2 linked regions of the Rattus norvegicus genome follow. The protein of the gene in region 2 purifies or fractionates together with the protein of the main gene of each other region. This does not show direct contact. Links are inferred from orthologs where the notes say so. Each region holds a gene or a part of one and is shown on either strand. Other genes may lie near its edges.

Evidence for each region.
Region 1: the proteins of Eif4a1 (region 2) and Eif4g3 purify together in Homo sapiens (co-immunoprecipitation; 6 studies listed by BioGRID and IntAct, counting the BioPlex papers as one, with this or other methods). This does not show direct contact. The link is inferred for Rattus norvegicus from reciprocal best matches to the Homo sapiens genes EIF4A1 and EIF4G3.

Annotation. Positions count from the first base shown.
Region 1 is NC_086023.1:155,475,652-155,491,599, reverse strand, and holds the start of Eif4g3 (eukaryotic translation initiation factor 4 gamma 3), read right to left. Parts: upstream 10,223-15,948; 5' UTR 10,056-10,222; intron 9,730-10,055; coding exon of another isoform or gene 9,509-9,729; intron 1-9,508. UniProt on the Homo sapiens protein: Component of the protein complex eIF4F, which is involved in the recognition of the mRNA cap, ATP-dependent unwinding of 5'-terminal secondary structure and recruitment of mRNA to the ribosome. Functional homolog of EIF4G1.
Region 2 is NC_086028.1:54,873,719-54,888,705, reverse strand, and holds Eif4a1 (eukaryotic initiation factor 4A-I), read left to right. Parts: upstream 1-103; 5' UTR 104-119; coding exon 120-142; intron 143-180; coding exon of another isoform or gene 181-836; exon of another isoform or gene 837-924; intron 925-1,115; exon of another isoform or gene 1,116-1,210; coding exon of another isoform or gene 1,211-1,248; intron 1,249-1,418; coding exon 1,419-1,467; intron 1,468-1,627; coding exon 1,628-1,760; intron 1,761-2,101; coding exon 2,102-2,241; intron 2,242-2,631; exon of another isoform or gene 2,632-2,774; intron 2,775-3,277; coding exon 3,278-3,446; intron 3,447-3,527; exon of another isoform or gene 3,528-3,669; intron 3,670-3,767; coding exon 3,768-3,877; intron 3,878-3,967; coding exon 3,968-4,111; intron 4,112-4,187; coding exon 4,188-4,325; intron 4,326-4,410; coding exon 4,411-4,500; intron 4,501-4,540; exon of another isoform or gene 4,541-4,683; intron 4,684-4,742; coding exon 4,743-4,822; intron 4,823-4,933; coding exon 4,934-5,078; 3' UTR 5,079-5,613; downstream 5,614-14,987. Other genes in the region: uncharacterized protein Eif4a1l, read right to left, coding at 181-836; Cd68 (macrosialin precursor), read left to right, coding at 6,313-6,355, 6,438-6,883, 7,015-7,134, 7,267-7,345, 7,459-7,629, 7,852-7,985; Mpdu1 (mannose-P-dolichol utilization defect 1 protein), read left to right, coding at 9,696-9,798, 13,187-13,252, 13,359-13,491, 13,931-14,016, 14,113-14,231, 14,383-14,493, 14,614-14,739. UniProt on the Homo sapiens protein: ATP-dependent RNA helicase which is a subunit of the eIF4F complex involved in cap recognition and is required for mRNA binding to ribosome.

The sequences.
Region 1 (15,948 bases), on a different chromosome or scaffold from region 2:
TCAAACAACCCAAACATCGACCTGCTGGAGAACAGATAAAAGATGACAGATGCAGAACCTCCCTCAATGGGGCAAAGAGGTCAAATAATGACGCATGCTCCACACAGATAAACCTGGAAGTGTGTCACACCAAGGGACAGATTCAGTTCATTCCGTATATACATATATATACACACACACGCACACATGCACACACGGTCCAGAAGAACCAGGTAAATATATATGGAGGATTCACAATCACTTAGCAGGAGGAGAACTCAGGAAAACAGAAGGCCCAGTGATCACTCTGGGGTGTTCTAAAACTATAGTGAAAGGGGCCAGGGAGGTGGCTCAGTGGTTAAGAGTATCTGTTGCTTCTGCAGAGGACCTGGGTTTTAGTCCCAGCCCTTACATGGTGCTCTCAACCCTTTTAACTCCAGTTCCAGGGGATCCAGCACCTCCTCCTGGGCTCCATGAGCAATGCACACATGTGGTGAGAGACAGGCAAACACCTACTGACACATAAGGAAACATGTTTCCTTAGCTGAACAATTTTCATATGGTTCTGAATGGCTCAAAACTATGGACTGTAGTCTCTAAATGAGTGATTCCTATGGTATGTCTATTAGATCTTAATAAAACTGTTTGAAAATAAGCGAGGTATCATGATACACACCTTTAATTCTGGCGCTAAGGCAGCAGAGTCAGGCAGATCTCTGAGTCTAAGCACAGACTAGTGGATGGAGCAAGTTCCAGGCCAGGCAAGGGTACAAAGTTTGACCTATGTCACATAAGTAAATGGGGAGCCAGCATGACAGCTTCCCATGCAGGCCTGGACACTTCAGTTCAACAGTCACAAAGGAAGAGGAGAGGGGACAACCCCTGTAAGTTGTCCTCTGACACACACACTTTAGGAGCATTCCACCACCAGAATCTGGTACTCCAAGCGCTCACACAGGACTCGTAGGAATAGTTTGCTTCATAGTGGCCAATACTGTACATCATTTCCCTGTGACCCCCAGCCCCTGACCTTTTCCTTACATTCATTCACCTTTGCATCAAGCTGTTTGTTTTCTGGGAGTGGGGGTAGGGTGGGTGTGCTCTTTTGAGAGTGTCTCATTTTGAACTTCTAATCCTCTGGTGTCCACCTCCCACACCCAGCTTGTACGAGCGTGCGTACATGCATAAGCACAAGACACAGAAAGTAAAGGGACAGCTGGTGGAGGTCGGCTCTCCACCTCATGGGTTCCTGTGGTTAGACTCAGACGGGATTTGGTAGCAGACCCCACCTTCCCCCACATCCAGTCAGCCCTCGAGTTTCTTCTATTTCGTTTTCCAAGCCTAGTAAAGCCTAGAAAGAAGCCAAGCGGTGCCTCAGCCTTTCTAACAGGACTTCCTTCTACCCTCAAAGGTCCATTCTCAACGGTTTACAGCTGAGTAATTTTCTCCTTCCATCTACTTTTACCCCGTCACTCCTAACTCCTCTGTCTCCACCTCAGCTCTGCTTCCCTAACCCGTCAGATCTCTTGTAAATCTTCCCGTATCATTAGCACTTCCTGAAACCAAATTATGACATCAAGGAGAGGGTCATGGTGGGGAGAGGGTCATGGTGAGGAGAGGGTCATGGTGGGGAGAGATTGGGGCAGGAGGATCACCATGAGTTTGAAGCCAATAACCTATAGACTACATATCAAAATCCCATTTCAGAAATGCCAAGAAAGAAAGCCCAAGTGGTGGCGCATACCTTTAGCCCCAGCCCTTGGGTGGAGGCAGCAGGCGGGTCTATTTGAGCCAGACTGGTACAGACTGAGTTCAGGGCAGCCAGGGCTACACAGTGAGACCTTGTCTCGAAAAACAAACAACAAACAAAAATAAATAGTACGAAGAAAGAAAAAATATAAAACTGTAGATAACATGGCCTTATTTTCCAAAAACCTAACCGAATCTGAGATCACTGAAATTAGCTCAGGTCAGCACACAGTTAGCTGTTCTCGTGTTCGGACAGGAATGCAACCCGAAACAAGTATATTAAGAGAATACAAGAGCCAGGGAGAGTGGCTCAGTGGCCATCCTCCACGAAATCCCCCCTAGAAGCCAGGGGAGGTGGCCCACAAAGGAACACCAGCACTAAAGGCTAAAGGAGACGCCGACCCAGCCCAAACCCTTCTGAATCCCAACCTTGCTTAGGGACTGGCAGGAAGGGATTCCAAGTGAAGTCTAACATCACAGTGCGGAGGGTTTACAAGATCACGTGAGAGGACACATATATGTAGTTCTTTTTTTTTTTTTCTTTTTTTATATTTCCTACTAAAGCCAGGCACACTGACAATGCATTTCATCCCAGCACCTGAGTGGCAGAGGCAGAGGCAGCAGCTCTCTATAAGTTCAAGGCCAGCCTGGTCTCCATAGTAATCTCCTAATGTTACTTGAGTATGATAAACCTGTTTTGAATCTAACTACAGATGTTGGTCCTGTTGCTTCCGTGACACCCCAGGCCTCACCCCCATTATCTAACCCTCAAACCCAACTTAGCCACTTCAGTTTTATAAACTGGGTCAACACTATTCTATCTCAAAGGAAATCACAGACTTCCTATTTAATCATATATCAGTACAAGACAATTGCAGGGCATCCCTGAATGCTGAAAGTGAGTTAAGATGCCATGCGCAGTATCCCTAAAACTAAGCACTAGCCTCGGTCCTGGCAAGCCACCGCCAACAGGACACACAGCACACCTGCTTCTGTGGCGCTTACATTCTCGCATCCTCAGAGTCAGGAAGCACGCAGGGCTCAAAAAACACAAAGAAGCTACTAGTTAATAAAGGTCGTAAAACCTGACGAGTTTCAAACGCACTTAAAATAGACTGAACTGTCTCCAATTTCAGCTGAGGCTACAGAGAGTGAAATGCTTCTCCTGGGTGGCAGCAAGCCAAAGAACTGGAAGTCATCTGAGAACGCAGAAGTCGCATGAGACCCTGCGGCATTTCACCCACACAATCTCGGCGGTGCTTCAGCTCTGCTGAAGTAGTCTGCAGGACTAACCATCAGGAAATCCTTTCTTACTGCATTATCTCAAAATCCCATCCCTACAGAAAAACAGGTCCCACACAACAGTTTATTCCAGAACCCATTCTCCCTCATGCCTCAGAGCTAAGCCCATCACTTGACACCCAGTTGTCACTGACCATGGCAACTTTCCACTCTCAAACCATCACAACCAACTTTATACAGTCTAGAACATGAACCGCAGAGACACTTGGGTCTCAGGCTAAGTCTGGTGGGAAGCCCCAGCCAGCAAGCCTCTTCCTGTGGTTCCACATTAGCATTCTAGGAAGACCAAAAAGCTGCCACCAGACACACACAGATATCATTAACTGATCCAGTTAAGCCCCACCCTATACCTGCAATAGCAAAACACACCTCAAAGCACATCTTCAAAATCCCAAACCCTTGGGATTCAAGATCACTGACCCCTTCGCTGGAGAAAAGCAACACAGATGCTCCGTGGAACTCAATGTGACCAACCCAATATAACACTCCTATTACAGTGGAAAACCCGGAGAAAGACCCAGGAGAACCAGAAGTCCAGGAAGCTCAAGGTCAACCCCAAGTGACAGACTTTAAGGCCGACCACACAAGACCCTGACTCAACACTAACTCAATTAGTGAGAGCGAACACAAACCCTGCCTAATTCACACCCAGCACTGCTGAATGTTATCAAGCTCCATCTGGTCTTTTAAGGTTAAAAGAAATTATTTCAAAGTCAAAGTCTATTATCAAAAGGTCAACGGCCTTTTGTAGAGATTTTAGATTTATTTCTTTTATTATTTTATGTGTACTGTGCACCATACCATGGGTGTGCCTGTGGAGGTCAGGAGACAGCACGGATCCCCGGAACTGAAGCTACAGACAGCTGTGAGCCTCCAGGAGTGCTAGGACCACATCCAGGCTCCAAACAGGGACAACCAGCGCTCTTAGGCACCCCAAAAGGAAAATGGGCTTCTAGGGTTAAGGGGGGGTGGGCACACATGCCCATCCCATCAGGTACAAAACACTCTTGACTCTGTAACAACTACATTGTCTACAGTACTTCCTCCAGTTCCCCACAACAGGGGAGAGGCAGGCGTAAGAGTAAAGCCCAGCTGGCGGGGCAGCTCCAGAACAGGAATTACTCATTGCTGCAGGACTCTTAATCATTCTGTGAACCCAGAGTTTAGTGTGGGGGGGTGGGGGGACTTTCTTGCTATGGTGTGGTTCAGCCCTTAGCACACACCTTTAATCCCAAACAATGAAGGTAAAGTTAGTTTGTAGAAAGAAGCAGTCATGTTAAAAAATGATGTCTAATTGAGTGGCAGATAAAGTGATGAATCAGAGAAAGATTTGACAGAAAAGGATCTGCCCAACCCTCAGAAGAGAGGAGAGAAGGAAGCTACTAAGAGAACAATGTAGAGAGGGGGAAGGAGGCAGTTTTATCAGGACAGTTTTACAGAGAGAGGTTAGAGAGAGATCAAGCTAGACACAAGTGAAGACAAAATGAGCCAGAGAATGAGGAGTCAGAAGATCAGACAGACTGACAGAGTTAGAGGTCAAACTAATTCAGAAGTGGCCAAGAGAGAAAGCAGCAAGATTGAATTAGTCAGCGTGGAGAGGAGTTTTGAGCCAAGACAGCTGAGCTGAACCAGTCAGCCTCAGCTCATAAAGAACTAGAAAGGGTGAGCTTAGTCAACAAGGGTAGTGGCTGACAACATTCTAGGCCTAGATAAGATTGTACAGAGGCGAGAAGCTTCCAGGACTAGGCCTAGGTTGGCAGACGCAGGCAGTAAGCCTCAGAGAGGACAGTTCGAGCAGGAGAATAAGAATCCTTTGACAACTCATGGTTCTACCTTGCTCAGATGTTAACTCCCTCCAGGAAGCCCTGACTCCTGTCTGCACACCGGACTCACAGCAGAGTGGTCACCAAGTCTTATCTCGATCGTATCCTACTTGCCTGTTGGGACCAATCTCTCTGAGGGTAAAGGTTATCTCAACCCTACACCTAGCAACCAGGCACAGCAGGTGGTAAGTAAATGAATACAAATAAATCTGTAAACACACACCGGAGCCATTCTCTCCACTGCGTGTAAAAGATGCTGTCAAACTTGTTAAAGAATCGCCCTCAAGATTCATCATAAACCTCAATATAGAAAAGCAACCTGTGACAAGCTTCAACTCTCAGGTGACCAAACCCACCCATCCGTGGCCAGTCAACTGGCTGGAGGCAGCAGATGTGCTCTGACTAGGCACCTGGGAGGGCTCTCCCTCTTCATTACCACTTTGCCATCTCTTTTCTCCCTCCATGAGGATTTGCCTTCAAAAATGTTTGGTTTGGCTTGGTTTGAGACAGGGTCTCACTGTGTGGCCTGACTGGTCTTCAACTCTAGATCTGCCTGCTTCTGCCTCTGAAGACTTGACACTTTTCTTGACAGAGTGGCTTCGGAGCTGCTGGCCACAAGAGCCTCAGAATTCCAACTGCTGGCTACCGTGACCCTCTGCTGGAGGCCTTGCTGACTCGTGAACAAGCAGAACCATGAACTAAGTCCACTGGAGGACCTCCATGCTGTTAAGGCTCAGTGGGGGAAGATAGCCTATTTGTCTAGCAGTATGCTGTTGTGAACAACTTAAAACCCTAGACCATGGCTGTGTTCTACATTCCTCAGCACGGCTTCTCTCGGATGCAGCGGAGTACTGACACTTCCTCCCAGGCCCACACACAGGCTGCTCACCCAGCCAAGTAAGAAGGCCACCACAGGCCACTAGTCTGCTCACACACCACCCTTCACTGGCACAGGTGACCCGGGAAATTAACTTCTCTGCTTATCAGTACCCCTGTCTGTAAAACAGACACCTACCTCATTAGAAGTCTCGGAAAACTTAAATAGAATGCTGCATGTACGACCTCTACAGCAGCAGGTACTGAAAATGGGTGTTATTATCCAGACCTCGCTATCAGAGCGGAACATCACACACTTCACCAGCTAAGGCCAACTTAATGTCCAGGGGAGAGACGATTAAAAAAAGAAATAGGAATATTGCAAAGATAGAAAGAACACTTATGACAAAGAAGCCAGAGACACAAGTCCTCTTCTGGTTGACACCGGTCTCTACCTAGTTCTGTTCCTGGAAAGAAACTACTGTGTCTCACTGGCTTAACTGGCTGCCCCTAAATAAGAAAGAAGATTCCCTGAATCACAGCCTCAGCCTCCGACACAGACGGACAGATACTGTATTCCTAACATACAGAAAATACTTCTGCTCAAATGCGCACCTAACTCGAGTTCATTTATCCAGAATTTTCTGAAACGTGGGCAGGCAGTCTCAAATCTAAAGAGCTGGGATTTTAATGGGGGACCCAGTAACCCCCTGAAGAACTTAAGCATGACTGGTTTTTGATCAAAATGTTAGTTATTCTGTCAGCCAGAAAAAGGATGACCATCGTTAAGATTCTCATCAGAGGGCTGGAGAGATGGCTCAGCGGTTAAGAGCACTGACTGCTCTTCCAGAGGTCATGAGTTCAATTCCCAGCAACCACATGGTGGCTCACAACCATCTGTAATGAGATCTGCTGCCCTCTTCTGGTGTGTCTGAAGACAGCTACAGTGCACTCAAATAAATAAATAAATCTTTAAAAAAAAAAAAAAAAAAAAAGATTCTCATCAGAGCCACCTCAACCTCAACGGGGAAGCTCAGTTGAGCACATCAAGACACAAGACAAACATTCCCAAGCTGCGGTCTCACCAAGCAGAAGCTTCCAGTGTCTGTGAGGGACACTCGCAGCATGTTCTCCTTGCTCTGAGTACTGTTCGTGTTAGGGTGTTTTTTTCTCCTTCCGGGCCTGCCATCCCATACCTCGCTCGCTCTGCTAGCAAACATCCATTGACTCTTTGAAGTCAATGTGGCCATTTCTCCTTCAAGTGGTCTCAAGGGTCCTGCAGTTCAACACTGATGCCTGCTTCCAGCTTCAGGCTTCCCCTCAAATCCCGTGTTTTCAACACTTCCCTTCATTTCCACTCACACTTGAACACTCAGCACGGATGAAGGACACCGGCCAGCCGACTCCTTCCAACACACTTTCTAGTGCACTGCTTACTAACTCACTTGCAGCAACTCCACCACATGCTGGAAGGCATGGAAAGAGCCGACTCCAGCCCCAAGGGCTTCTACGGCACCATCTTACTGCACGACTGCATCTGCACCAAGCCCGAATTCCCACATCCCCTCCAGTTTGAAAAGCACAATGCTCTACTGCATTTCTGACCTCTTCCGTTACCAGGTGACGACATTTTACCACGGCTGTGTTCTGAGGTGGCTCTAGCCTACACTTCCTTTACTATCTAGTCAGATGCTTATTCAGCAGTGTCATCTTGCCAGGAATAAAGCAGGAATCACAGACTACATCAAGTATAAAATGTCAGCCGCCATGACATGAGGCAAAACAGAACCTTAAAGCAACATGGTTGGCGCCGACATTGCCATGAAGGGTTCAGAATAATCTCTACTGTAAAGAGCGCCTTAAACGTATTCCCATTACCCACCGCATCGTCTATTTTACAGAAAAGATAAAACCTAAGTGGAGCTCCAACCATTACTTCCAAGTTGTAACCAGCTTCAAGTTTTTCCAGTCCTTCAGCTGTGAGGTATAAGGAGAAAAAGCACACGAGGGCTACTCAGTACCCCGCTCTGTATCCAATGAAGCCACCAACTTCGCCAAGCACTGTCACAAACAACACAGCAATCCCTTACTTGCTCTTCTGTCAAGAGCACATACTGTGCACTTCCTCTGGTTTAACAGCCTAACAGCTTAAAGAGGCAGGTAAGGGATAGATAACTCACTTGGCCCGGAGACAGAAACCTACGAACACAGGCCATCAAGAAAAACAACCCTAAAATGAGAAGGGAATGTGAAAGAAGTATGAAGCGAAGCTAGGTAGACAAGCTAGGCGGACTGGAGCGACCCAATTCTACCCTGAAGCAGGCTGAGCAGCCAACCTACTCCTCCACAGGCCAGTAGCTGCGCATGTGGGTCAGAAGTAACTGGGTTTTCCATGAACGTGCAACTTTCTCAGCCGTGAGCGAGGAACTGAACAGAACGGTGCAGGGTCAGAACGTTATGAAATCAGCACACAGACAGCACTGAAGCACTAAGATGTGGACTAACAATACGTAAAGAACGCAGAAAGGACGCTTGACAGAAAACAATGACCTGAGGTGACCCAAGAAGGGAAGCGTTTTTCCCTTCTCAAAGTAATTGATACAGGCAAGAATCAAACTACACAAAAAGACAAGCTCAAACACACTCCCATCTTAAAAGTCAAATGCGAGAACCATACAGCGCAGGGGACATCCAAAAATCATTTGTGGATTCTTGGACAAGTACAAGAATGTGGGGAGGAGGGGCAAATGCTGAAATGTTCTTCTCAGATAGGTAACAAACACCTTAGCTTGCCAAGTAGTGTAGCGCATGCCTCTAATCCCAGCATTCGGGAGGCAGAGGCAGGCGTGTCTCTGAGTTCAAGGGCAGCCTAGTCTACAGCGCAAGTTCTAGGACAGCCAGGGCTACATAGAGGAACCCAGTGGGGAAGGGGACGGGACACCAACCACCTTGCTGAAGCTCCATGGGGGAGCCATGAATTTGAAGTTTAATACTGACTAAAACACCAGGTACCAAGATTTTTCAATCAAAGCTGCCCCAACTTCTCTATCAAGAAATTAGACACATTCAAAACTAAGACACATCCTTGAGGGCCCGAGTACCCTCCAGACATCAAGTCTATGAAGGAGCAAACTTACTAAAGCCCTTTAAAAAGATGTACAGTGTAACACCCATCTTGGAAGAAGTGAGACTTCTGGGGGTGCTGGGTAATGTGAGTTAACTTCCTCTTCCTTTAAAAAGGTCAAAGACAGGGAAGCGCCCAGTGTAACATTTCCTCCTTAGCCGGTTCCACCACAAGCCACAACACAACTCTAATTGCTCAAAAAATAAAATAAAATATAAACAAAACTAAACACTAGCCAGGGGGAGTGCTTTTCCTACACTCACACTGAAGACTGAAGACCCAACTTACCTCAGGAATGAGCTGATTCGTTTCGAACAGGAAATTTAGCAATAAACTTTACTATGTATTCTAAATAATAATTAGAGAGGCCACGGAACCCTGCAGAAGGCAGGGCCTCCCAACAATCAAAAAAGCCTTGCCTGCAGGGCTGGTCCCAGGCACCAGCAAATTCTGCCCAATAAAGGGGAGGGAGCAGCAAGGGCAGGGTTCCCCCAGATCCACAAGAGCTGCAGAGGCACGGCCCGGTGGAGCTAGTGTCCACGGTACCGCAGAGGGTCCCGGGGTCCCCAGCAATGCTGTCACCGGTGCACCCCAAAGGCTCGACTCAAGCCGGGAGCAGAGCGGCTGCCCGTCCCTTTCCTTGCTGGGCTATGACGGCAGGCAAGGAGGTTCCCACCAAGGGTCGCTCTGGACCGCTGGAAGGTGAAAAGGATACTGTTGGGGCGCCGGGGTCTGGAGGGCCCTGATGTTCGGGTGAGGAGGGGCCGCCGCTACCGCTGCTGCCGCTGCCGCCGCCGCCGCTGCCGCCGCCGCCGCCGCCGGGTGAGGAGGCGGTACCGCCGCCGCCGCCGCCGCCGCCGCCGCTCCGGTGCCGGGTCCGGTTCCTGCTGCAGCCGCTGAGCCTGATTTCAGAGCCGGTTTCTGCGGTAAACTCATGGCAAAGCGAAGCCACCAACCCCCCCAGAGCGGGACCGGGCGCGCCGGGGTGCAGGGGCCGGGGGCAGCGGAGGGGCGGGATGGGGGCAGACCCGGGGAGGCGGCGGGAGCGGGGGGCCGGGGGGAGGCTGGGAGGAGGAGGAGGAGGGGGCCGGGACCGGTCACACACGCCCTCCGCCGCCGCCGCCGCCGCCTCCGCCGCCGCCGCCGCGGGCAGCAGCAGCCGCCCCGCGGGCCAGCACCACCGGCTGCCGGTCTCCGTGACAACGCGACCCCGGGGAGGGGGGGGCCGGACCCGGCGGGGGCAGGAGGCGGAGAGACCGGACCTTTCACGGCAATATCCTCATGGGCCGGCGGCGGGGGGTCTCTGTCCCCCTCCCCGGGGGAAGCGGCGCCCTTCTCGGTAGCGGGGCTCGGGCGATGCGGACGGATTTTCTTCACTCAACGAGCAGAGCATCCAACATGGCGCTGCGGCCGCCTCCAGCAGTCCGGCAGGACGGCCGCTCGGAGCTTTTCGGCCCTTTTCGGAAGGACTCGGCAGACCGAGGGTGGAAAGCTCCCTCGGCTATTTCCGGAGACTGCGAGCGGCCGGGGTTCTTCGGGAGCGCTCGGGAGCGTCTTCGGCCGCTGTTCGGGAACGCCGCAGGAGCTGACACTCTTTCTCGGCAAAGATCGGTGATCCCGGACCGCTGAGATTCCCCGCGGCTCGGTGCCGGGCTGAGGTAGAGACCAGAGGAGAGGTCTGTAGGGAAAGAGCCCAGCCTCGAAGAACCGCACCCGAGGCAGCTGTCCGCCGAGACCTGTCAAGCAAACGTCGAGAGGCGGCGGAGCGGAAAAACCGAGTCTCTGTGGAGGGAACCGCTAAGCCAGAGCACAAACCGACAGATAGGAACCCGCCCGCCGCAAGGAGTTATTAACATAACAAATGCCACTCGCCGGCCCTTGACGTCGCAAGTCCTGGGCATTATGTCGACACGTCGTCCTCAGATGCCCTAAGTGCGAAATGGAACGAGGAGCCCCATTTTGCAGAGGAAGCCCGGAGAAGAAAGTGACTGCCCCAGGGTTCCTGGCTGGGAAGGGATGGAGAGGATTCAGAAACTGGATTCCACCTTCTCTAGGATGAGCCTTGCCTTCTACGATGCAAAATGGCCTGCCTTACCAGAAACTTTGACCCTGAGCTCTGTAGAATGGATATCTTCCCACAACCTTCCTCAAGACTGGATGGCCTTTGGCTACAACCTGTAGTCTGCTCCTCATTCTCCTTGGCTTGGGTAACACTTGTTGATAAGGTCTTCTCCTCCCCACCCCCACTCACACTTTGCATACCACCTGCACCCCTCCATAGGGATATTGTCCCCAGTACACATTAGCCGAAAAGGAGTCACAGACATGTGGCACTGTGCAGATACAGAATACTTTATTAGCTCATATAATCCCAAGAAATAGATAAACGCCTATTCTTACAATGAAGACTCTGGGGTCCAAAGAGGTTTAACTGTCATCTACACTACTTAAAAAAAATAATTTTTTGAGATGGCTCAAAACTGACAGGAGTCTTTGCCAAGGACACATGACCAACATGGACAGAGGTAAAATTAGTGTCCTGCGTTCTTGATTTCCAAACATGAGGGCCCAAGTTCAGTCCCCAGAATTTACTCTGGAAAAGTCTGGTGTGAGGCAGGTGTTTACAATCCCAGCCCTGAGGTGGAAGCCAACAGTTCCCTGAGGCTCACTGGCCACAGTCCACTCTGATGAATTCCAGGCCAATGAGAGACCCTGTCTCCAAATTAAAGGTGAACAGCACCCTCTGGTGAATGACACCTGAGGTTGTCCTCTGGCCTCCATACACATGAACACAAACACAAGATCAGTGTCTGACTCCTGCTACACTGGTGGATTTCGGAGTGGGGGAGGTGGTTGTTGGTATTTGGGGGTGTGTTGCCTTGCTTGCTTTTGTTTTTTAAAGATTTATTTATTTATTGTATATAAGTACACTGTCGCTGTCTTCAGACACACCAGAAGAGGGCATCAGATCCCATTACAGATGGCTGTCAGCCACCATGTGGTTGCTGGGATTTGAACTCAGAACCTCTGAAAGAGCAGTCAGTGTTCTTAACTACTGAGCCATCTCTCCAGCCCACTTGCTTGTCTTTTGAGGGAGGGTCTTAAGTAGCCCAGGCTAGCCTCAACTCTCTACATGCCTGAGGATGGTCTTGAACTCCTGATCCATCTTGCCTCTCTACCTTCCAAGTACTGGGATTATAGGCACTCACCACCAGGCCCTCTTTTTTTTGTTTTGTTTTGTTTTTAACTAAAGCTTTACATGTGGTGCTCCCTGTAGGATAAAAGCTACGTGGCCTGCTCCCCACTACCTCTAGCTGTCCGAGCCTCCACAGTGCCCTGCATTAGAAGGAAGGCCTCCTCCCGCCTCTGGACCAGGACAGCTATTTCCTAGTTCAGCATGCTCCACCGTATAAATTTGTTATCCCAGGTTACTTAAGTGTGGATTTCTCCACTCCTCTCCAGGCTTGCCTAAGTCCAGGAAAGATTGCCAAATGGTCCTTTCGGCCCCCAGAGTCTCATTTCAGGTTTCTGAGATCTCAGGCTTTTCTTTATCCCAATCAAAATCTGTTCCCAGCAGAAAGATTTGACTTCCCTGTTTACTCGAGGCTGATAACAGATTGATAATTGCCTAATGGCTATTCTTTTCTGAGCTAGCTTCCTTCTTTATCTTAATAATAGCCACAAGCATCATGCAATTAGTGCGCGCCTGGCCTTTGCTAAGCATTTTGTGAGCATTATCAACCTCAAACAGGACAGATCCTGGGCAAAATAATATTAAGGTCTAGATAAGATTCTGACCTCAGGCAATAAAGTGGGAGGAGCTTGGCGAGCAAAGTTATAGAGACAGGCTCTCTCCATTCTTCCAAAAGCATGACCTTGGGGCAAGGGCTGTAGATCAGTGGTAGAACAATTGTCCTTTGTTCATTTCTTGCAAAACTGACCCTGCAGCCGAGGTTTGAGTGCTTGCTGACACTTGTATTTGAGTACAGGAAGTCCGACCCTTCTAGACACCCCCACATCCTACAGAGCAGCTAACACTGAACACCTACTATGTGTAGACATTTTTTCAGAGGTTAACTCCCTGACAACACTGTAAAATGTGTGTTACACCTCATTCACCAATAAAGAAATAAAGCCTCAAGGACGTGAAAGGTAATTTGTATGACATCTAAAAGGAAGTCCTGGGCTTCCAACCTGAGAAAGGACCTTTTAGACGTCTCGCCCTCAGCATAGCAACCCTATCGTCAAACATAGACCTGGCAAGAAAATCTGATCTGGGGGCTGAAGAGAAGGCTCACAGGTTATGAACACTGGCTGTTCTCCAAGAGGACCCCGGTTCAATTCCTAGACCACAAGGCAGCTCACGCCTTTGGAACTCCAGATCGCCGCCTCCTAGTCTCCTTGGGAACTAGATTCATACATACACAGATAATAGGTAAAACACCCATACACATAAAAACATTTAAAAATCTGATCTCAGCTCTTTGTTCACTAAGCTTTCCATGACGATGTCAAAACAGCTTAATGAGTGAAAGCCCCCTCTGTCAGGCCTAAGACTCCCCAGGCCCCACTCGTGGAATGAAGGTAACAGAAGCAGGCCCAAGTGATGAGAGCTTCATTGCCAAGAGATTAAGGAGGCTGCTAAGGTTAAAAGAGTCCCAGAGCCAGACCATAGTGTTGCATGCCTTTAATCCCACAAGAGACAGGTGGATCTCTGTGAGTTTGAGATCACCCTGGTCTACATAGTGAGTTCCAAGAAAGCCGGAGCTAAAACAGAGAAACCCTGTCTCAAAAGGGGGAGGGAGGGAGAGAAAGGGAAAAAAGAGGAGACTGGTTTATGAAAGATCTTAGATTTAGGCTAAATCTTGAGGCCATTTGAGAGTAGGGGAAGGGATTCACAGTAGTCATGAAAGGCTCTACTTTTATGGAATTGGAAGGGATGGGGGAAGGTACGTGCATACGAATGCTGGGGCCCCCCCGCAGAGACCAGAAGGAGCTACATCAAGGTGCTGGAGTTAACAGGCTTTTGTGAAGCCACCTGACCTTAGTGCTGGGAATTGAACTCAGGGCTCCTGCACAAGCTGCACACACTCCCAACCACTGAGCCATCTCTCCAGCCCCTAGAGAACGTTCTTAATCTCCTTGAGCCTAGGTTTTCCTCCTCTGTAAAGCACTCCCCACCTCCCGGGGTTTAGGGAATAAACAGGGAACACTTACCCAGGGATTCCCTGGCATGCAGTAATTTTTTGGTATGCTTTACCCATTATGATTCACTTCCGCAGAGACATTTCATTGTCCTTTAAAAATCCCTCTGATGTGGCTAGCACTCAAATGGGCTATGAAATTCGAACGACTTAATAATTGTGAATTGCCAGAGGATTTTATGTTACCCCGCAGGAATCCCGACAACACAAGCCCAGGCTCAGCCTCACCACATAGAGAACAGGGCCGGAATATCCTACAACAGACACAGCTCATGCCCTAGAGGAGCATTGTCGTTTTGGGTGGCTGCCTGCTATACCCAGAGCCTACAGCAACCTGGGCCAAAACCCTGAATTCCCTATGAGCTGAAAGAACGCTCATGGATAGTCTCAGGGCAATTACCGTCTGAGTAAATGTGAACTGGTACTGGGTTCAGATGGGCCCTTTAAGTTTCTTTTTTCTTTTTTTCTTTTTCTCTTTCTTTTTCTTTTCTTTTCTTTTTTTCCTTCTTTCTTTTTTTTTTTTTTTTTTTGAGACAGGCTCTCACTGTGTTGCCCAGGCTGCCCCTCTAACTCCAACTCCTGTGCCCCAGCAATCAATCCTTCTGCCTGAACCTTGCAAGTAAATGAGACTATAAGCCTCCCACCATGTCCAGTCCATCTGTTCTAGAAGCATTCATTCTTGCTCCTTTCTCTCCTGCTCTCCTCCCTGTGTTGTGGTAAACCCAGGACCTTGTGCGTGCATAGAAGGCAAACTACCAAGGATATACAACCCCAGCTCTAATTAGTCCCCCACCCCCCCCATCAATTTTTGTTTTTTTTGTTTTTGGTTCTTTTTTTCGGGGCTGGGGACCGAACCCAGGGCCTTGCGCTTCCTAGGTAAGCGCTCTACCACTGAGCTAAATCCCCAGCCCCAATTTTTGGTTTTTGAAACAGAGTCTCACTCTGTGAGTCCAAGCTGGCCAATTCCTTTCTTTGGCCCAGGCTGACCTCTAATTGAAGATCATCTTCCTGCTGGAATTGGGATCACAGGCCACAGCCAATACACATGGTACCTTTTTCTCCATGTATTTTGTTCTGTTGGTGGCTTTTGTGGTTGTTGTTGTTAATTTGTTTGTTTTTGAGGTGATATTACTATGTAGCTGAGATCTGCTACATATGTATATGTATATGAATATGTACATATATGTGTACTTGTACACACACACACACACACACACAAATGCCAGGATGTCTAACATAACTACTTTCTGTCCTCTTTTGGTGTGTGTGTATACAAGTAAAAGCCACTATGTCCATGTGGAAGCCAGAGGTCAACATCGGGTACCTTCTATTGCTCTCCACTTATTTTTTTTTTTTAAAGATTTATTTATTTATTATATATAAGTACACTGTAGCTGTCTTCAGATACACCAGAAGAGGGCATCAGATCTCTTTACAGATGGTTGTGAGCCACCATGTGGTTGCTGGGAATTAAACTCATGACCTCTGGAAGAGCAGTCCGGTGCTCTTAACCGCTGAGCCATCTCTCCAGCCCCACTTATTTTTTGATAACTTGGAGCTTGCCATCTCAGAAAGGCTGGCAGACCAACAAGCCCCTAGCTCTGCCCGTCTCCATCCCTCCCCCACACTGGGGTCAGACTCCCACCAGCATCCAAGACTACTCTTTTTTTTTTTTTTTAAAGACTTATTTTTATTTATATGAGTACACTGTAGCTGTCTTCAGACACACCAGAAGAGGGCATCGGATCCCTGTTACAGATAGTTGTGAGCCACCATGTGGTTGCTGGGATTTGAACTCAGGACCTCTGGAAGAGCAGTCAGTGCTCTTAACCGCTGAGCCATCTCTCCAGCCCCTTAAAACCAACTTTTTTTTTTTTTTTTTTGGAGCTGGGGACCAAACCCAGAGCCTTGCACTTCCTAGGCAAGCGCTCTACCACTGAGCTAAATCCCC
Region 2 (14,987 bases):
GAGTTGCAGAGCGCCGGCAGGCGGGGCAGAGGCGGCCAAGCCAATGCGATGGCTGGGGCGGGGTCGGACGCTCTATAAGTTGTCGATAGGCGGGCACTCCGCCCTAGATTCTAAGGATCATGTCTGCGAGTCAGGATTCTCGGTAAGAAAGGCATTTGCAAGAGGTTAATGGCTACTTACCCCGCAGCTCCCTTCCGAAGGTCCCGCCGGGGAAAAGTTGAGAGACCCATCGCACCAAACCTACCAGGTTGCGGGAGAATCGAACCGGGAGGAACCGTCCGGGGAGGGGGGGGAAATCCCATGGCCGACGCTGACACCAGTGTGGATACGGGAAAGGACGGCCTGGATAGGGCGGAGGGCGCGAGGTTCGTCACGAGGCCTCGGCCTGTGGGGATGCCGTACGCGAAGCTTGGGTACTGAAAGGCAAGATGAGGTCGCGACATAACGTGGGAAAAAGAAGAGGCGGCTGTGCGGCCCGGAGCCGGCTGGTCTGGTTGCCTCCCTATGTTGGGCAGGGCGTGCGCGCGAGGGTTCCGGAGAATTCTGGCGGTACCACTCGCGACAAGCAGGGGTGCCTGGGTCTTCAGCGAGTCCCTTCGTCGCGCTTGGAATGTGGGTCGGGGAAGAAGAAACCGGCCGTTCGGGGTGCTGGTTTTCTTGACGGCCAGGACAGAGCCTAACCCGAAGGAGCGGCCGCGTGAGGCACCAGGAGCCCACCCGGCGCCGGGCGGGCGGGTCCATTTTGCCGCACAAGCCGGGCAATTGGCAAACTGCGGATGGGCAGGTCCACTTTCCTTCGGGGGTGAGCGGCCTGAGGTATGGGAGGGCGACGCCATTTCTCGACGGGGGCGGGCGGGCTGCGGATTGTTCCATGGCGGGGGAGACGCCACCGAGTGGCGGAGCGAAAGAGCACATGGCCGCTTGAGAGATTCCCCTCCCCCAGTCTGCTTCGCTTGTCTGTTGTGCAATCTCCCCCTTTGCTAGCGCGGCTGGGGCTCATTGTGCGCGAGGCCGCCACCGCCCGCGGCCTCCCACATCCGGGTACTGTGGAGGGGGGCCGGCCGGAGGGAGTGGGGGAGGGCGCGGGCGGCATGACGTGGGGGGGAAGGGGACGGCCCACCCACGGAACTTGGAGGTGGAAGGCGGGACTTCCGGTGGCCTTGGTGTTCCGGATGGAGGTGCACACGCTTTGATCCGCCAGACCCAGAACATGTGGGCCTGGCAGCAAAGACCGCATCTCGGCGCCGTGTGTGTGTGAATGAACTCCTCTACAGCCCCTTGATCTTAAAGGAGGGTCACCCTAAAGTGCCTCTGGATGGTCCTTTGGGAATAAGTGGGAGTGTTGGATCGGGAATGGGCTAGTTGCTTGCATGCTCTAATCAAAGCATGAAAAAAAAACTAGTGCTTTGAATCAACAGATCCAGAGACAATGGCCCCGATGGGATGGAGCCGGAAGGCGTCATCGAGGTAAGACTAGAATCTGTGGTCGCCACTTTATTATGTCCGAACAGGCATTTCCTTATGGTGACATAGACCTTAGATATTTAGGACGGTGGAACAGAGCAGTAGGGTGGGGCGACTGCAGCTTTGGTATAAACTAAATTTATTCATTTTTGGTATCCTGCAGAGTAACTGGAATGAGATTGTGGATAGCTTCGATGACATGAATCTCTCAGAATCCCTCCTCCGTGGTATTTATGCCTATGGTTTTGAGAAGCCCTCTGCCATCCAGCAGCGAGCTATTCTTCCTTGTATCAAGGGTAAGACTCATTATCAGGCTAGATATGGACTGTCCTGATCTGCATAGTGTGTATGGGGTTGGTGGTGGGCATAGCAATGGGGGTTGGGGGGACAACAAATTACCTTTCCTAGCTTCTTGGTTCTGGGGTTTTATTTTGTCATGCCTTAGAGGGGGTTGCCATTTCCAATTCGAGGCCTTTATTATTGCTTTATGTCTAACCTAGCCAGCTGTGTTTGAGTTCATAATGTTCTGGTAGATGGCACCAGCCTTGTTCCATTACTGATGTCAGGAAGTCTCACAGGTGTCCTCTGAGCCTAAGGTGCAGACTTTTTACACATCTAACTCTTGATCTGGTTGTAGGTTATGATGTGATTGCTCAAGCCCAGTCTGGGACTGGGAAAACAGCTACATTTGCCATATCCATTCTGCAGCAGATTGAATTAGATCTAAAGGCCACTCAGGCTTTGGTTCTGGCACCCACTCGTGAATTGGCTCAGCAGGTAAGATTGGTGTTTCCAATTCTATATGACTGCTTTAAGAGTTCAAGAAGAGTCTGCCAGTGGTGATGATACTGGTGACCCAGGCATGTGGAGCACTTCAATTTTAAGGCCAGTCTGGTCTACAAAACTAGTTCCAGGACAGCCAACACTTAGAGAAAGCTTGTCTTAAAGAGACAATTAGAAGATCAGGTCAGGTACGCTCTTGTATGCCACTGGGATTTGTTGACAGCTTCTAGATCTATTGAGATTGGTTTGCCTAATTACTAACAACTTTTCTACCAGGAAAAAAAAGCACTTTAAATCCATTTTCTGAGTCAAATAAGGAAGGGAAGAGTATTGTTAGAATCTAGCTGGCTGGGCAGGTTAAACTGTGTTTACAACAAACATACCACCCCCTGGACATGGGCAAGGAGACACCATGTTGGTGGTGTTGTTCCTATATCAGTCAGGGGCAGAGCAGATGTAGGCCTTTGTTCATCCTAGCTTGATGCCTGGCTTGGTGGCCAAAGCTGTTTCATGCCTAGGGCACATGAAATCCTGGTGCTAGTCTGTTAACTACTATTTCAAGCCTAGTGATCACTGAAGCAAGCATCTGGGTAGCAATGTAAGCAAGACGTGATAAGAGGATTGACACCTTAGAACCCTGTAGATCTACTTATTTTGGGGGTTTGCTTATGAGCTCAGCATGGATCACTAAGTCTTGGTTCTGTAGCAGGGATGGAATAATCACCTTGTGGGTATAGATAGGGCTGTGTTCATAATCTCAGCCTTTGGAATGGAGTAGTAGGATGTAGTGTGAGTTGTTTGTAGAGCTGGCCTGGTTTTTATGAGGCTGCATGTAGAGTGGGAAACTTACTGTGAACCTGTGTGGACGGATCCAGCATTGCCATTTGGTGGCGGTATTGGTGGTGTTGGAAGAGGATTAAGTGGATTCCTGTTTCTCAGTTGCTAAGAGTGGGATAATTCCTGTCTGTAATAAGAAAGACTTAACTCACTGGTACTGCCCAAGTTAATGTAGATGCCTTTCTACATTTAGATTCAAAAGGTGGTTATGGCACTGGGAGACTACATGGGTGCCTCTTGTCATGCCTGTATTGGGGGCACCAACGTGCGTGCTGAGGTGCAGAAGCTGCAAATGGAAGCTCCCCATATCATCGTGGGCACCCCTGGCCGGGTGTTCGATATGCTTAACCGGAGATACCTGTGTGAGTGCCATGGAACAGTTGTTGGGCTCTTTTCTACATTTCATTTCCTTGGATGAGTTTTCCTTTAGTTGGAATTGAGTTGCTCTGTGATGAACCCCATGCGTGTCATCTGAGCCTGGCTTCCCTGTTAACCTTAGCCCAGGTAGTGTTCTACTTACCAGGGCTTTTGCATGACCTATCAGGGAAGCCGAGGGCAAAGGATCAGTCCTTGCATTCTGAGAGCAGACTGTCTGCCTTCTGCCTGCCTTATCAAGAGACCTCAATATATTTCACATTTGTCTGATTACTATATGTTGGGGTTTTTTTTTTCCTGCCATCTAGCACCCAAATACATCAAGATGTTCGTCCTGGATGAAGCAGATGAAATGCTAAGCCGTGGGTTCAAGGATCAGATCTATGATATATTCCAAAAGCTCAACAGCAACACACAGGTAAAACAGATGGTGTTGGAGGGACGGTGGCTCGGTTGTGATTTGATTGTACAGTGCACTCAATCATGGCTGGGGCATTTTTCCCACTAGGTAGTTTTGCTGTCTGCCACAATGCCTTCTGATGTCCTTGAGGTGACTAAGAAGTTCATGAGAGACCCTATTCGGATTCTTGTCAAGAAGGAAGAGTTGACCCTGGAGGGTATCCGCCAATTCTACATCAATGTGGAACGAGAGGTGGGGCCCAGTGCAGGAGGCGGGCCTGGTAATAAGTGTTGGGTATAGCTCCTGATTGATGTTTCCTGATCTCCAGGAGTGGAAGCTCGACACATTGTGTGACTTGTATGAAACACTGACCATCACCCAGGCAGTAATCTTTATTAATACCAGAAGGAAGGTGGACTGGCTCACTGAGAAGATGCATGCCCGGGATTTCACAGTTTCTGCCATGGTGAGTTTTCTCAGTCTTGTTAATGATAGATGTGTCTTTGTGTGTTAGGAGCCTTATGCTAGCTGCTCCTAACCTTGTTTTCCAGCATGGAGATATGGACCAAAAGGAACGAGACGTGATCATGAGGGAGTTCCGGTCTGGCTCTAGCAGAGTATTAATTACCACTGACCTGTTGGTGAGTAGATGCTCTTTTAAGGAAAGAAAGGGAGAAAATAGCCCAAGGTGATTCCCTCTCCAAAGGGCTGACTATGTGCCCTTTTTAGGAACGTAGCAACTTGGAAGAAAGCCAGGCATGTCCAAGGTCTCTGGGGAACAAGGAATACTTGTTTCCTTTGCCCTCCTTTGGCAGCCTACATATATGCTTACTAAATTAGGGTTGATAGTGTCCTCTGATGGCTTTATTCTTTCTTGACCTAGGCCAGAGGCATTGATGTGCAGCAGGTCTCCCTAGTCATCAATTATGACCTTCCCACCAACAGGGAAAACTACATCCACAGGTATTTACCTGGTCTGACAGATCAAACACTCCCTGTGCTTAAAAAAAAAAAAACACGTTCCTTTCCCCAACCTAACGCCTTTTTAAACTAACCTCCCCCCCCCCCCCCCAGAATTGGTCGAGGTGGTCGGTTTGGCCGGAAAGGTGTGGCTATTAACATGGTGACAGAAGAAGACAAGAGGACTCTTCGAGACATTGAGACTTTCTACAACACCTCCATTGAAGAGATGCCCCTCAACGTTGCTGACCTCATTTGAGGGGCTGTCCTGCTACCTGGCCCTAGCCCAGGGTTCAGTCCTGGGGGCAGGGCTGAGGAACAGCTGGAGGGGGGAGGGAAGGGAGCCAAGGGATGGACATCTTGTTTTTGTTTTTTTGTTTTGTTTTTTTTTTCTCTCTCTCTCTCTCTTTGAATAAATGTCACTTTTTGAGGCAAAAAGAAGGAACCGTGAACATTTTAGACACCCTTTTCTTTGGGGTAGGCTCTGCCCCAGGCGCCGTCTCCTTCCCCCCCAAACACTAATGCATTTCCCTAACCTAATCACCTCATTCCTAAAGGCTTTCCTACCCCAGCCAAATCTCCAAAAGTGAGTCAAGGGGCTAAAACATGGCTGGCCTCATTTGCTGGACCAAATCTACAGGGAGAACCCCCTGAATGAGGTTGTCCAGGGACTTGTCCCCAGGTGAGGGGAGCAGGGGAGAGAAAATGGTAGCCATTTTTACATTGTTTTGTATAGTATTTATTGATTCAGGAAACAAACACAAAATTCTGAATAAAATTACTTGGAAACTGCCTGTTTGGGCTTCTTGTTTCTTCCCTTCCCTCTCCTGCAGTTACTAGTGTGGTTCAGCTGCCCCTGCACTAGTTCTTTCCTGAATTTGCCATGTTGCTTCCTGAAATACCAAATGACCCACACTACTGAAATTTGGTAGTGGGCTTTAGCACAAGACACAAGTGTCACTTGCTCCCAGTTTTGAAAAAGTAGTAATGGGTTCAAAGACTTCAACTGGGTGTTAGTCATAACCCAAATGTGGGTGCTAATTACCTTGGGTTCTGTAGCCCTTGCTGTCCTGCGGTTATATAGGCCAAACTGGCCTTTTGGGTCTGCTTGCTGCCTTACAGTGCTGGGATTGAAGCACATGGGTGAGGGTGAATTTCTTACCAATGAGGAAAAGGCTTCCTGTTTGCCTGCTTTGTAAACTGCCAAGTAGAGCAAGTTTTGGCTTAGGTAAGTTCCGTGTGAGTCAACTGCCTCATCCTCACATGGTAACTAAGACTACCGCCCACTGAGAAGGCCACTACCAATCAGTGCTTAATTGTGAAAACATTTAAATTACTTTAGCGGGTGGCTAGAGCTGAGGTGCCTGAGTCAGGTTTGGGGTGGGATTACTTTGGTTAAGGGAAGTAAGAGTTTTCATTTCCTCTTCCAAGAGAAGAGGGGATTGGGTTGAGGAAGGAGCTGTTACAGCCTAGCTGGACTCAGCAGCTCTACCATGAGGTTCCCTGTGTGTCTGACCTTGCTGGTACTGCTTGTAGGTAAGGAGAATGGGAGGTGGGAGAGAGGGAGCTCCTGGGCAGGAGCCGGCACCTGGGTTATCAACTAATCTCTTAATGAAAGCCCAAGGAACAGGGAAAGACTGTCCTCACAAAAAGGCTGCTACTCTTCTGCCATCCTTCACGGAGACACCTACAACCACCGGAAGCACAGCAAGCCCTACGACCACCCACAGGCCCACCACAACCAGCCACAGGCCCACCACAACCAGCCACAGGCCCACCACCACCAGCCACAGGCCCACCACCACCAGCCACAGGCCCACCACCACCAGCCACAGGCCCACCACCACCAGTCATGGGAATGCCACAGTTTCTCCCACCACAAACAGTCCAGGCTTCTCCACTGTTGGCCCTCACCCTGGACCACCTCCGCCCTCACCAAGTCCTAGTCCAAGCTCTACTGGGGCTCTTGGAAACTACACATGGACTAATGGTTCCCAGCCATGTGTTCAGCTCCAAGCCCAAATTCAAATTCGCATCTTGTACCTGACCCAGGGTGGAAAAAAGGTAAAGTAGTAGGGCTTAAAGAAGGCCAGAGGCAAGCCCTGGGCTGGTTCAGAAGGGAGGAGGAAGAGCAGAAGGGATAAACTGGGTGCCATTCATGTGACTTCAGACCCACTATTCTTTCACTTCTGCAGGCCTGGGGCCTCTCTGTATTGAACCCGAACAAAACCAAGGTCCAGGGGGGCTGTGACAGTGCCCATCCCCACTTGGCTCTCTCATTCCCTTACGGACAGCTTACCTTTGGATTCAAACAGGTATACAGCTTGAATTTGTCTTCCTCCTTCACTCTTCTATATCCCACCCCTAGACCCCCTAAGCCTCCTCCTTGCTCTATGGACATGGATGCCACTGTCCCTGATGCCTTGAGCCTTTCTGTTCACCTCAAGGACCGACATCAGAGCCACAGTACAGTCTACCTTAACTACATGGCAGTGGAATACAATGTGTCCTTCCCACAAGCAGCACGTGAGCAACCTCTTCTCTTTACCACACTAAAAGTCTACACTGGAAGTGCTGGGGTGGTGGTGGGGACTCAGGAATCAGGACTAGATTTGAATCTTAATTACTAATTACTTTAGAGTGGACATTCTCAGCGCAGAATTCATCTCTTCAAGAGCTCCAAGCTCCCCTGGGCCAAAGCTTCTGTTGCGGAAATACAAGCATAGTTCTTTCTCCAGCAATTCACCTGGACCTGCTCTCCCTGAGGCTGCAGGCTGCTCAGTTGCCGGACAAGGGACACTTCGGGCCATGTAAGCTTGAAGTTTCCCATTGCACTGGAAACCTTCCCCAGAACTTTTTCTAAACCTCAGTCTCCTCTACAAAGCTGCCTATTTCCCCTTTCCTTATGCTCCAAACTATGGGGTTGAATTCCTCAACCTTTCTCCCTCCCACTTAACTCTTCTGTCCTTCCCGCCCACCTTTAGCCCATGCACCACTGCAGCGGTTCTCACTGACCCTGTTTTTTCTGCCAGGCTTCTCTTGCGCCAGTGACCAATCTCTCTTGCTGCCTCTCATCATTGGCCTGGTCCTCCTGGGCCTCCTCACCCTGGTGCTCATTGCCTTCTGCGTTACCCGGAGACGACAATCAACCTACCAGCCCCTCTGAGCATTTGCTCCAGTCCACTCTGTAGGCCACCAAGGAGCATCCTCATTTCTTCAGCATGCAATTGACTCAACAGAGTTATCTCCCTTCTCTGTCTTTAAGAACAAAATTAAGAGATTTTTATAATAGGGGTGGGGAATTAATAAACATGCATGGTACGCACTCCTGTTCTCATGAAGAGTAGAAAAACTTAATGAAATCTTTGCCCTTGGCTTCCTTTGTCCTGCCAGGATCATGTGCTTTCCTGTGCCTTTCCATGATTGAGTCACCAAGGGACAGCTGGCAAGAAGGGACAAAAATACCAAAGAGTGACCAAATGCCTTCATGGGTTCATTTCTTAATGTCCTGCAGCTGCTGGTGAAACTACTAAAACTCCCGCCTCCCTCTGGCTGCCTGTTCCCTTAACATAATGAATCATTCCATCTTAACATCCTCTTGCTGACCCTTGTGCGCAGTTAGAGGTACAACGCAACCAAAATGTGAGTAGGTGGCTGTATTATTTTATTTCAAAAGTGGCTACTGAACAATGAGATTCCATGTCCACTGTGCCAGGGCTAGCTCACTGAGGAGCCCACTAGTGCAGCAGACACTCTGACTTCTATGAAGGTTGTGCTTCTAGGAACAACTTTAGGCCTGGCCAACAAATGCTTGATCCCTGAGTAGCAGAAGGAGAGGAAGTGATGCCATCTGCAATCTGCCCTTGTCCAGATTCTAAAAAGATATTTTCAGATGGCTAACCACGGCACCAAAAACGTATAAATTCTGTTTATAGTAGGGCATGGTACAAGGATAGGAGCCAAGCATGGGTGCCCTTCCAATTTTACCAGTGCCATGAGGTTACAGAAATCCCTGGACTAGCGCTCCACCCAGCAGAGGTACATGTGGCAATCCTCCCTGCCCAGCAACTACCCCCAAGAACAAGGAACGGGGAAACAGTTTGGGAGTGCCTGATAGCCAAGCGTAGATTCATTAGGATAGTAAACGTAGTAGGTAGGTGTCTTGGCAAGAGTGTTGGAATGTAGCGTGGCTCTCTTCGCCTAACCCTTGGGGCCCTTTCCCAGATAAATATAAATTTTTGCTCGCATCCTCTGGGTTCCCACCTAGACACAGAAGAGGCTCTGCGTCCCCGTCCCACACCCCACGTTGTGTCAGGGGCTGCTATATCCTGCCGGTGAGCTCGCCCCTCTTCTGCTTCATTGTCATCTTAACATCTGGACAGAGGAAGAGGGAGGATACTAGAAGGAAGGCCCAGCTCAGAATGGCCTTTCCGGCTCTATGCTATTTACCAAGAGAAGATAGGAGAACTGCAGCGCCTTCACTAGCGCCATTTTGAAGACTTGAACTCTTTTCCTTTCCAACTTCAAACAGTATAAAGTTGGCAGAGAAAAGACAAGATGGCGCACACACAAGAGGGACAGAGAAAGAGGGAGAAATAAACCTTGCTTTCAGAACCCAGAGCGTAAACAAAAGTGCGGAAGTTCTAACTGCGCAGGCGTAAAACTCTGACATGCTTTAAAATTCGAACATCAAGGCGCGTACAAAACCTAGTCTGTGAAGAACTGTCTCAGCCTACTGAAGCTAGCAAGGGTCCTGTAGGAAAGGGAAGTGCAGCCCGGTCCCGGGGAGGAGGCGGAGTATACGCATACGCAGTGCGCATGCGCGGCGCAGGTCAATGGCGGGGTTATCCGGACTGGCGGAAGCTACCTTTCCAACATGGCGGGCGAGACTGACGGACCGTTCAAAGGGGTGCTGGTACCAATTCTTTTACCTGAGAAATGCTATGATCAATTCTTCGTCCACTGGGACTTGCTTCATGGTGAGTTTTATTCAGCCTTCAAAGTCTAGTTCGAGCAATCTTGGACCTAAGTTAGCGTGACAGTGCCGATTAATGTCACGCGAAGCTGGGCAGAAGGCGCTTCTGAAGAGGGCGGAAGTGTTTTGGACCCTGCATAGGAAAAGTGCCATATTTGGGCATGAGGGGGTGTCGCCCGAAAAAAATAGTTAAATTTGTGTTTTACAATCTGGGAAGTCGGTACCCCGCCCTCATCCCTTTCTGGACCGGGGATGGAACTCAGGGCCTCTTGCGCCACACTGCTAACTAGGCTCTATCCCCAGACTTGAAAACTCACTTTTTATAAAACAAAATTAAAATCCCAGCCAGGCATATAGACCTCCTTTCAGTCCCAAGCACTCAACTACAGAGGCCCATGAATCCCCACCCCGACCCCTCCACCCCCGCCCAGCACCAACTTCTGGAATGTGTTATGTGGCACAGACTGGCAGCAGTCCTCCTGCCTCAGCCACCAGAATGCTGGGAGTATAGCAGCACTTTACTTTCCTTTTCCCTTTCTTTACAAGGCAAGTTCATTGCCAAATATCAAAGACTTTGGTAAGCCTTTTCCATCTCTTCTGTTCTAAGTTCATTTTGGCTTACAATAGTAAAGACTTCCTGCTGGGCCAAATGCCCACCAGGTCAAAGATTCCATGATAGGGAAATTGCCAGTATGGGGTTTCAAATGTAGCAGAGCAGCTCCCTCACTGTGATCTATTGAAAGTCAGTTCTCTGTGAGCTGGAGAGATGGCTCAGTGGTTAAGAGCATTGACTGCACTTCCAGAGGTCCTGCGTTCAGTTCCCACAACCACGTGGTGGCTCACAACCATTTATAATGGGATCCAATGCCCTCTTTTCTGGTGTGTCTGAAGACAGCAATAGTGTACTCATGTACATGAAATAAATAAATCTTTTTTTTAAAGATTTATTTATTTTATGTACATGAGTACACCATAGCTGTCTTCAGGCACACCAGAAGAGCACATCAGATCCCATTACAGATGGTTGTGAGCCACCATGTGGTTGCTGGAAATTGAACTCAGTACCTCTAGAAGAACAGTCTGTGCTCATAACCACTGAGCCATCTCTCCAGCCCATAAATAAATCTTTAAAAAGAAAGTCAGCCCTCCACACAGGGGTTTTGGAAAAAAAAGGAAAAAAGAATTAAAAAAAAAAGAGAGAGAAATTGCCAGCAACAGTGGCCCACACTTTCAATCCCAGCACTTGGGACACAGAGGCCGGAGGATCTCTTGAGTTCAAGGACAGTCTGGTCTATAGGGTGAGTTCCAAGACAAAGAAGTAAATGATGGAGATAGTGGAGGAACAGGGAAGAAAGTCCTGGAAGAGTGGGGATGACCTAGAAGGTTCAGGAATGTATGGTATCGGGGGTTTGTGCCTTTGGAAGGAGGAGTATTTGATTTGAAGTTTTACTGACAAGAGAGAAAAGGGTCAGGAACTTCTGAGCAATGCCTGTATAACTAAAAAGCAAGGAAGAGCAGGGAGGCCTGCAAGTTTGCATCCCTACTTGGGACTAGAGGGATGGTTTACAAGGCTGGTGACCTGAATTCAATTCCTGGGAACTACAGAAAGGCAAAAATGGAGAACTGGCTCTACAAAGTTGTCTCTGACCTCTGACCTTCACACATGTGCCTATAGACACACACAAAATAGATTATTCTTATGTATATTTTTATTTTTAGTATTTTTTTAAATTTACTTATTTATTTCATATATGTTGAGTACAGAAGAAAGCATCAGATCCCTTTACAGATGGTTGTTTTTAGTATTTAAATTGTGTGCATACATGTATACCCACACATGAACACAGTTGCCTGGAGATGCCAGAGGCGTGAGATATCTCTAGAGCTACAGTTACAGGTGTTGTGAGCCATCTGACATGGATGCTAAAATTTGAATTCAGGGGGGCTGGAGAGATGGCTCAGTGGTTAGGAGCACTGACTGCTCTTCCAGAGGTCCTGAGTTCAAATCCCAGCAACCACATGGAGGCTCACAACCATCTGTAAGAGATCTGATGCCCTCTTCTGGTGTGTCTGAAGACAGCTACAGTGTACTTATATATAATGAATAAATAAATTTAAAAAAAATTGAATTCAGATCACTGCAAAAGCAGAGACGTGCTCTTAATCACTAAATTACCTTTCCAGCCCCAAATTTTTAAGATGTATTTTTGTTGTGTGTATTCCCTTATGTAGAGACTTAGGTCAACAGAGTTGGGAGCAAAGCCATCTTGTTGGCCCAATAATATTTTTAAAGATTTATTTTTGTTTTATATACATTAGTGTTTTGCCTGAATTTATGAGTGTGTCAGATCCCCTAGAACTGGAGTTAAGAGTTGGGGTTGCTGGGAATTGAACCCAGATCTTCTGGAAGAACAGTCCATACTCCTAAACGCTGGTCTACTGTCTGTCTGTCTATCTTTCTAGCAACAGTTTCTCTGCAAAACGCTAGCTGTCCTGGAACTATGTAGACCAGGCTGGCTTTGAATTCATATAGAGACCTGCCTGCCCTTCCCTCCCAAGTGCTGGGACTAAATGTGTGTGCTACCACACCTGACAATAGTTTTTAAATATTTGAGATAGGGTCTCACTATGTAATTCTAGCTGGCCCTGAACTCAGAGATTCTTTAATCTCTGTACTACAACACACACATCCCTGATGACTTTTAAAAGACATAATTTCTTAGTACATTTTTTTTTTTTTGGTTCTTTTTTTTTTTTTTCCGGAGCTGGGGACCGAACCCAGGGCCTTGCGCTTCCTAGGCAAGCGCTCTACAACTGAGCTAAATCCCCAACCCCTTCTTAGTACATTTTTATTAGGAGTGTATTTTATTATGGGCAATGCATGGAAGTTCCGGAGTTGTCTGTCTCTCCGTCTACCATGTTGATTCTGGATTAAAGAGGGATAAAAGTTAGCTTTCCAGTTACACAGGCACTGCTCAAAAATCTCCTGACCCCACTCTCTCCTCAGTAACCGATGGCCACTTCAGATGCTCCTCCTCCCAAAGGCAAATCCCCACACCATGTATCCCCGAACCTTCTGGACCCTTATGCAGGCAACCACTCTTCCCTTTCATCAGCGTATCTTGTCAACTCTAAGAAATACTTAGCCGTATTTATAGGAAATGGAAGGTTGAACAGGAAGGAAGGCAGTCACGGAGAAGCTGTTGTGAAGATGACACGTCTAGTCTGAATGTTTGTAGCCAGAAGGATGTCTGCCCCACTATATCTCCCGCAGAGACTTACTGGTGCGGTGGTCAAATTAAGGGTGAGGGGAAAAGGGAGCAGCTAAGAGCACTTCAGACCCTCACCTGGGCTCCAGAGGCCTCTTTGCTTACTTTTTTCTCTCTTCTCAGTTCCCTGCCTCAAGATTCTCCTCAGCAAAGGCCTTGGGCTGGGCATCGTGGCTGGGTCACTTCTTGGTATGTATAGTTCCTTCTGTCAGAGTAAAGGGAAGGGGGTTGAGAGGCTGATGCCAAGGAATGGGGATAGTTTGCTTCTTCCTCAGCCATACCACTTTTTCCACAGTAAAGCTCCCCCAGATATTTAAACTCTTGGGAGCCAAGAGTGCAGAAGGACTGAGTCTCCAGTCAGTAATGCTGGAGCTAGTGGCACTGACTGGAACTATGGTCTACAGCATCACCAACAACTTCCCCTTCAGGTGAGAGTCCACTCTAAATGCCCAAAGCCAAATCCCCACAGTTCTTTTATTTATTTACTTTTTTACTATTTACTTGAGATGGGAGGGGGTCACAGAACAACTTGTTGGAGTGGTTCTCTCCTTCCAGCGAGTGTGTGTGTATCCTGGGGCTGGAACTCAGGTAATCAGGCTTGGAGGCAGACATCTTTACCTGCTGAGCTGTTCTCTAGCCCCAGTGACCGAAATTCTAATAAGAGTTCTAATAAGTGCTTCAGCCCTTCCAGAAGTTTACTCACACCCATGAATATGGGATGAAGGGAGCATTCTGAGTGACCGGGTGTGGTGGGGTTGTAGACCGGAAAGTACCGGCTAGTCAGAGAACAGAGTCTGATGGGCGATGGAGGCTTTCCCTGCCTTTTTCCAGGCCTGCCTTTTTCCTTCCCACCTCTTGACTCTGCAGCTCTTGGGGTGAAGCACTGTTCCTGACACTACAGACGGTTACCATCTGCTTCCTGGTCATGCACTACAGAGGAGAGACCGTGAAAGGTGCCGGGGATTGGCTGGAGAGCAGGCATTGTGTCTTGGGGACTTTGCTGGGGACTCAGGAGGCTCAAGAGGGCTCCTTGTCTCCCTGACCCCCAGGAGTTGCTTTCCTTGTCTGCTTTGCCGTGGTCCTGTTGGCGCTGCTTTCCCCAGTCATGCCTCTGGCTGTGCCCACCCTGCTCCAGGCCTCCAATGTACCTGCTGTGGTGGTGGGGAAGGTGGGTACTCAGAAGCAAAGGGATGTGTATGGTAGTGTAGAAGCAGAGGGAAACCTCCAAGTAAGGAGTGCAAGTCTGCGGGGAGTGAGGAAGGGTGATGGGTCACAGAGGAGGTTCAGAGGAGTATCAAAAGTATCAATTTCTCCTCTAGTTGCTCCAGGCAGCCACTAACTACCACAACGGACACACAGGCCAGCTTTCAGCCATTACAGTGTTTATGCTGTTTGGGGGCTCCTTGGCCCGGATCTTCACTTCTGTTCAGGTGAGTGCACCTTCTGCCCTCTAGAGGGCAGTAAAACCTCACTCTCAGCCAAGTGGAGAGGTAAGCTGCCTGCCTGCCAGCCCTGGAACCTTTCTAGATCTGTGCTGTCTCTCATACCAGGAAACTGGAGATCCCCTCATGGCTGGAGTCTTTGTGGTCTCTTCTCTCTGCAATGGCCTTATTGCTGCCCAGGTCCTCTTCTACTGGAATGCGAAGGCTCCCCACAAGCAGAAAAAGCAGCAGTAGAGCTAGCTTCTAGAATAATTCCACCTCCATCCATCTACTCAACTCCCACATGACCCGATCTGCTGGTGCAACTTAATCACCCTCCATCCCGATGTATTTGCCACCTCCTGAGCCTGGGCGGTAGGAATAGTAAAGCCCTGCCCTCACTCACTTCACCAGTTGCCTGGGATCCCTCCTTTTAAGCAGCTGTTTTCTCACGGGAGCAGGTGATTTTGCCCTGTCCACCTTCCTTTTGGACCAAGGACAGA